2 linked regions of the Macaca mulatta genome follow. The protein of the gene in region 1 interacts with the protein of each later gene in a biochemical or structural test. Links are inferred from orthologs where the notes say so. Each region holds a gene or a part of one and is shown on either strand. Other genes may lie near its edges. The genes, in order: OXSR1 and WNK4.

Region 1 (3,796 bases):
AGGTCCCTAGGATACAAATAGGAGACTGACGAAGGTATTTATTCCAGAAAAGAAGGGGGCTGGGTAAACAGCTAGAGTCAGACTGGCTAATAGTTTCTCTTATGAATAGCCAAGGGGCTGGGGTCAGAGGTTTCCTGGCATGGACAGAGGAAGAGTGGCCACTCAAAGGGAAACATCAGCCCAGGGCACTGGGGAGGCTAAATGAACACAATCCACCACATTTTAATATCCTCATCACTCAGGGCACATAGAAGCTGGTCTGGAGAAGCTGCCAGTGTGTAAAAGGCAAGACGTTTTCATAAGGAAGAAGAGATGAGTACCAGTTTGAAAGTGACAGATCGATTTGACTGAGGTTCTTCCACAATTTTCTGCAAATTAGCTGCCACTGTAATCATACAAACAGAGAAGGTAATGAATGAGAAGTTACATAAATCCACTTTCAACCGTATTTTAAAAGCTTAAATGGTAGTTAAGAATATGCTCTGTACAATCAAAATGGAAGCAGACAGATCAAATAATCACTCCCCAAATGAAAGTGTCTTTTAAACTGATTTCTAAGTAGTACACCTTGAGCCACTGTCAAATTAACTTTCTTTAAAATGTTGTATTAAGGTAGGAAAGACATGCAGGTAAAAGAGGTATGATTTCCTGATTTACGGATCAGAAACCCCAAGGCCAGAAGTCAACAAACCAGCCTGTGGTCTGTTTTTGTTCTCCGGCAAGCTAAGAGTGGTTTAAAAGCGACAGACACTGTACATGGCCCGCAAGGCCTAAACTATTTACTATCTGGTCTTTCATGGAAAACTGTGCCTAAGGACATGGTCTTTTCCTTCAGTAACAAGGACCTGTGGCCTCATTGGGCCTTCTCTCTTCCTTCCTGCTTTTCTAGGACTAAATATCTAATGACTTTTGTTCAACCTGGGCCACAAAAATTAGGTATCCAAAACAGATCAGATATGACCAAGCTTACTTTAACTTGTTACTTTTGCCATAATTTCTATTAGTCTCCTAAAGACCTTGGGTGTGCTTTCACTTACTATCATTGGAGGTCACAAACAAACTCAGAGGTGAAATTTTGTGTGTGTGTAAGGAACTATCCCATTACCTATAATTTCAGCAAAGCCAAGAACCATCAGACCTACTCAGTGAAATTAAAAACCTGCTTTTCTATGTACTAAGTATACAGAGACACAGGAGCACATGGGCAGAACGCAATGGAGTTACCTATTACTAAATCCCTTCCGTCGACCAGGCCAGCAGAAATGAGTTCCTGAGAGACACCCTCCGCTGTATCTGCAAGGACAAAGAAGACGGTGCTCTGTTTTTTGTGCATGCTTGACACTGTTAATGCTCACAGCTCGTGTGGGTGTCAGTGTGCCATGCTAGGCCCAAGTTGGCTGCTAAATCCACAGAACCAAGAAGGCAGGCAGGGTCTTCCTCCCAAAGACTGTTCCTACCACTGGGATTATCTGAAGTGAGGAATTCTCACAGATCTAGCTAGAGGGCAGAATCTGTATAAACCAGGTGGCAAATATCTGGTTTATACAGCTCAATGTAAAGATAACTTTCTAAATGGTGTAATGTAGATGGGTTCCGGCCCAGTCAGAAAAGCACCTGACACTGATGTTGCAGAGGAAATTCCTATTTTCAAGTACAATCCTGGACTGAGCTCTCAGAGCTCTGAGACATAATGTTGAATACTGAGCATCTCTAGGGCTAAAAAACCAGAATGATTTATTCTCAAAAACTGAGGCAACCATTTTTGTCTCAAAAAATTTTTCTCTTCTCTTTGGGAATCATACTCCAAGTTTTTTACTAAATTCATTTACTTTTTTATTCTGGTGGGCTTTTCTTCTTATCTAGTTATCCCAGGTGGTACAATCTGAGCAATGGGTATAACTAGAAAGTAAAAAGATGAGGATAGAGTATCCCCAATTAACCTCATCTTCAACCGACTCAGTAGTACTGGTTCCCAAGGGCTTGAAAATGAGCACCTCAGAGGGAACAGGAGGACTGCTGCGGAGAGTGTCCACACATTCACACAGGCAACCAGCAATTTGAATTAATTCCTGAAAATGTGATGTTGCCTGGTTTTTAAAAAGTAAAACTGGTAACACCTCTGTACACCCGCATCTTTTCTCTTTAGTGGTTAGTTGCTGATAATAGTGAGACGGCAAGAAGAATAAGCATGATACACAGAACAGATACTTGCTGGCTACTCCCCAAATTAGAATCCTGAGTAATAAAGGCAAGAAACAAAACATGCCTTGTTCAAGGTGAAGTTCGACAGCCAGAAACAGTACATGACAAGCCTCAGCTTCCGTCTGAGGAGAAAGGAGACTGCAGACCTTGTTTCTTTACCATCATGGAGGACAACCATGTATAAAGCAAGAACTCTGGATTCTGACAGATCTGGTTTGAATTCCAGCTCTACCTCTTTCCAGCTGTGTGACCTTGAACAAGTTACTTTGCCTCTAAGTCTTGATTTCATCATCGATAATATGGGGATAATAATTTTTCCTTAGTAGGCTGCTGTGAGAATTTAATAAGATAACGCTTAAGACAATGCCTGGCCTATACTAAGCTGTAAAGAGCTATTATATATTTATTACTGTTTGTGTTATTATACAAGGTTTTCTAAATGTGTTTAGTAGTCTACGAACTGCATTTTTATCTCACTTATATGCTCCCCAAAACCGGGAAAATTTTTTATTATCCTTTAAAAGCAAAACTTCACAAAGGACAGAAACTTCACAACACATTTCACTGAATCACAAATTAGAAGCTATTTTGTTTTCAATCCGTTTGATGCCTCACCTCTCCCAGGAGTAAATTCAAATCGAATATCATTTAGTTCTTTTTTGGAATTCCTATGAAAGAAAGCAGAAGGCATAAAATAAGAATTTCTAAATTTATGCAAAGAGATTCTGCCAACATGTATTAAGAAACCTGTGCCTCAAGAAAGACTGTTTTGTTCCCATAGATCATACGATGTATTCAGATATGTTCACACTGCAGAACTCAGAGCAAAACCAATTTAGAATGACCATCTAGTTGACCTACAACCCTTTGAATCTATGTCCCTTACTGATCAATATAAAAATTTCATGCCTTTGAGTAGATTCTTATATGCCCACTCCCATCCTTATTCCCACTAAGAACATATAAAACTAAGAGGAAAATTGTATGAGCACAGGGAGGTGTGATTAAAATTATACAGGATGCCTTTTTCATCCTTATCCGCATTCCTACATGCCCACAATTCATTGCCTACCACTGGTGATCAGTCTTGGCAGACTCATAAAATGAAATACATGATGCTCCCTCAAATTCCATAGGAATTCAAACAATATATGAGAGATGGGGATAATAAGGAAAAATTTTAGAAGTAGTTTTTATATAGGACTTAACAGATAAGCAGGATTTGGGTAGGCAGAGAGGATAGGGAAAGGAACTGGGTCCATACTGATAGCAGAGTTAATACATGACTCCAGAAATTCAAACATGACTGGTGAGGTATAATTACAGTGATGACCACACCACGTACTGAGATAAAGCAGGATCCCTGGAGGTTATAAAGTTTAAAGACAGAGAAATGAGAGCATTATATCTAAGGGCAGATATTCCTGCTCACTTAGGACTCAAATCTATTTTATATAAACAATGGAGAGGGTTTACTTCTATATGAAGAATAATATACTTGAGGATGTTACTGAAATTGTGCTTAAAATAGAACTACCCATCTCAAATATAACCTGCCCCAAATGATTTTCCCTTGCATTGCGTTCTCTCTACA
Region 2 (3,819 bases), on another chromosome or scaffold:
ACTTACTGATGACCCACTATGTCTGCTAACTGGCAGCTCCTTACATTATCATCATTAGATCCTCCAAACAACCTTGTGGGATAAACCTTACCATTCCATTTTAGAGATTAATGAATTGACCAGTTCATAGTTATACAGTAAGTCAGTGGTTTCCAATGGGAAGAAGAGATGTTTGGCAATATCTAGAGACATTTTTAGTTGCCACAACTCAAAGGTAGATGCTATTGAATCTAGTGAGTAGAAGCCAGGGGTTCTTCTCAATATCCTACAATGTACAGGGCAGTCCCTAAAACAAAGATGCCAACAGTACCAAGGCCAAGAATCCCTTGTCAGCAATGGATCAAGATTGGATCTCCATGATATGGAGACCTGCTCTAAATTTCTAACACATTCTCAGGTTCTTGTCCCACCGTAGGTGGTCTCCACCCTTGCAACAGTCATGTCTGTATTAAGAATCCCATACTCAGCCGGGCACGGTGGTTCACACCTGTAATCCCAGCAATTTGGGAGGCCAAGACAGGTGGATCACTTGAGGTCAGGAGTTCGAGACCAGCCTGGCCAACATGGTGAAACCCCGTCTCTACTAAAAAATACAAAAATTAGCTGGGCATTGTGGCTCGTGCCTGTAATCCCCGCTATTGGGGAGGCTAAGGCAGGAGAACTGCTTGAACCCAGGAGGCGAAGGTTGCAATGAGCTGAGATAGTGCCACTGCACTCCAGCCTGGATGACAGAGTGAGACTCCATTATTCCCCAAAAAGAATCTCATACTCCCTTCAGGACTTCCTAAGCCAGTCCCCAGGCGTCTGCCCTTGCATCTTATGCCTCTCCCCTTCTACCAGCTTCCATTCATCACCTCCTCTTTCCTTTTAGCCACAAGCTTTGCTGAGTGAGTAAAGGAGGTGGGGAAGGGTAACCTGATTTAAAATCTGAACCACCTCAGTTTCAATCCAGCTCTTCCACTTACCTACTTGGGGCAGTGGACAAGGTATTCAACCTCTCTAAATTTCCATTTCCTTATCAACAAGTTGAGATAAAACTGCCCCCTATGCAGGATGGGTAGCAAAGATCAAATGCATGTGAAAGTGCTTTAAGCCATGTACAGATGTGGGCTATTAATGAGCTCTTACTATGTGCCAAGCACTGCCAGGGATAGAAGAATCAATAAACACAGTCTCTGCCCTCAGGGAGTTTATAGTCTAGTGGAGAAGAAAGATAGGAACTTATTCAGGTCTAAGACAGGACCGATAGTGGGGAGTGATGTAACAGAGAACTTGCTGAAGTGGAAAGAAGCATTTAAGTTTGACTCCAGAGGGGATGGCTTCCCGAAATCGATGGTTCTGATCATATTGGAAGAAAAAGAAAAAGAACAAGGGGGAGGCAGGAAAGAAGGAAAAGATAAATTGGCAAGAAGGGCATTCCAGGAAGAACAGATCAGCTGGAGGTAAAGCAGGGATGCTGGAGGACCCAGGGCTCCCTCTGTAAAGGAAAACTGGGTGTGGGTGCAGGTAAGTTAGGGCTGGAGAGGTAGGGAGACGCTGCAGGAGATTCTGAGAGGAGTAAGGTGCCCCGCCCCCATCGCTGCCACGCCTCCTGCGCCCCATCCCTGTTGCACTATCTCCTCGGGTCAATGCCCTTTACACGTCCACTGGCAGCACAGTCTGTCCTCCGCTCACCATCTCCTGTGCCACCTCCTCGGCCGCGTCCCGGCCCAGTTGGAACAGGAACTCGATAGCCTGGTTGTCCCGTGGGCGCCCCCCACGCCGCGCGTCCTCCATGCGCAACCAGAGCTTGAGGCCCGGCTTCTCGCCGTCGTCCTCCTCCGCTAGTTCCACATGCACACCGCGCTCCTCGCGGAAGAAGGCGTGGGCCAGGAGGTCCTGGATGGTGAACCTGAGGGTGACGCGAGGGGTTAGCCTAGCCCGCCGCGGCCCGCGGCCCTACTCTACCCATGCTCTGCCCTTTCACCCCCACCTCTCGTTCTTATCCGTGCGGATGCAGCCTTCAATGATCTCCTTCACCTCGGGTATCTTCACCTTGTAGAAGCTGTTCGGCTTTCTGCCCTGGGGGAAGGGGTTGCATGACACCTCCGGTCCTTTGATCCCCAGCTCTCGGCTTGACACCCCCCACCCCTTACTCCACTCCCGCCTTAGGCAGCTACGCGTGCAGTTGCAAAAGCCTGACTGCCACTGGAAGATGTGATTTCAAATCTCACTCCCCGCCAAGTATTTACAGTGTGACCTTGAACAAGTCTCCCGCTGTTTGTTCATCTGTAAATCGCAGGGTGGAACATTTGCCCCGCTCACCTCACAGGGCAGCTGGAAGGATTGGATGAGAGATGGGATGCGAAATCATTTGTGAACTCTTGGGAGCACCACACATATTATTCTAAATAGCGTGTACTGGAGGGGGTGCATGTGCATTCAATATCCTGTGTTCCCCAAGGCGACTCTGTCTAGCCTGTTTTCGTGCAGGCAAAGGGCACTGACTGCGGGCTGGCCGGGGCAGGAAAATGGGAAGTGGCCCTGGAATTGCCTTTCCCGCCAGTCCCATCCCTCTCACCGAAGTGACCTTGCGGTAGATTTGCGCGGCATTCTGGCACTCGGAGTACGGGTACTCAGAGGTGGCCATCTCCAGCATGCACATGCCGAACGCGTACACGTCCACGGCCTCATCGTACTTTTCCTCGTACATCTCGGGGGCCATGAATTCCGGGGTCCCTGTAGGGTCAACAGCAAGGATCAGGTTGCTGGGCACTCTGGCCTTGTCCTTCCCATTGGGCTAGGTAGCCCCAGGCAACCCTGCGAGTGCAAGTGACCCCGGCCCACAGTGGGGTTGAGGAGGGATGCCATAGGTCTCCTCAGCTCCCCTGTCATCTGGTAGTTTCGTGGACCTTGAAGGCCCTTGCTGAGGGGAGGGAGTACCTAGGTTCTCTTCTGAGGTGGGGGAGGAAGGAATGGCATGGACCCTCCTGGAGAGACGCACCGATGACACTCTTGGCAAAGGAGGCGCGCTTGAGCGTGGCCAGGCCCAGGTCCCCGATTTTGACGGAGCCAGTAGGGCCCGTGATAAAGACATTGTCGCACTTGAGATCCCGGTGCAGGATGGGAGGAACCCGGGAGTGTAGGAAATGAAGTCCCCGCAGGATTTGGCGGCTCCAGCGCTGAAGGACTCGCGGCTTCATCTCCCGGAACCGCCTCAGGTACCTGGGGGAGGGCACATAGCAAGGGTCCTGGTGGGGGACACGGCCAATGGGGAGGAGTCCCCTCACTGGGAAGTTCCCCCCTGCAGCACCCTGCTGCCGCCTCCGCATCTTCTGCCAGCATTCTCCTAGTCTATGTCTGCCTGGCCACAGGGAGAAACTGAGTCAGGGGGTGTGGTGGATAGACATGATGTTACCAAACGGGTTGGGAAGTAAATTGATAGGGCCGCAGCCAAGGTGCTGTGGAAGCGCAGGAAGGGATGACCAACTGCCCCAAGCATGAGGGAGGGCTTCGGAGAGGAAATACTTTTGTGTTGCATCTTGAATGATGAGTAGGAGCTCAAAGGTGAAAGGGGGAAGGGATGGAGACTTCCCAGGCAGACAGGACACTATGCTCAAAGGCACGGAAAAAGCCAGTGACAAGGCAGGGTGGGACGAGGTGCCAGGAATTTGGTGTGATTGGAACTTAGGCTAAAAATGAGGCTGTATCCCAAGGCGTCTGTGAACAGGTGAGCCTGTGTGGGCTTTATTCCAAGGCCATGGGAAACTTTGAAGGGGTTTTAAGGAGGGGAGTGACAGTTCAGATTTTCGACTGGGAAAGATCCTCCAGGCTGCAGGA

The links.
Region 2: the proteins of OXSR1 (region 1) and WNK4 are reported together in a solved structure, tested with the Homo sapiens proteins (2 studies listed by BioGRID and IntAct, with this or other methods). The link is inferred for Macaca mulatta from reciprocal best matches to the Homo sapiens genes OXSR1 and WNK4.

The regions. Positions count from the first base shown.
Region 1 is NC_133407.1:100,508,558-100,512,353, reverse strand, and holds part of OXSR1 (serine/threonine-protein kinase OSR1), read right to left. Parts: intron 2,871-3,796; coding exon 2,818-2,870; intron 1,294-2,817; coding exon 1,225-1,293; intron 386-1,224; coding exon 321-385; intron 1-320. UniProt on the Homo sapiens protein: Effector serine/threonine-protein kinase component of the WNK-SPAK/OSR1 kinase cascade, which is involved in various processes, such as ion transport, response to hypertonic stress and blood pressure.
Region 2 is NC_133421.1:67,135,314-67,139,132, reverse strand, and holds part of WNK4 (serine/threonine-protein kinase WNK4), read right to left. Parts: intron 3,205-3,819; coding exon 2,984-3,204; intron 2,719-2,983; coding exon 2,561-2,718; intron 2,062-2,560; coding exon 1,973-2,061; intron 1,892-1,972; coding exon 1,675-1,891; intron 1-1,674. UniProt on the Homo sapiens protein: Serine/threonine-protein kinase component of the WNK4-SPAK/OSR1 kinase cascade, which acts as a key regulator of ion transport in the distal nephron and blood pressure.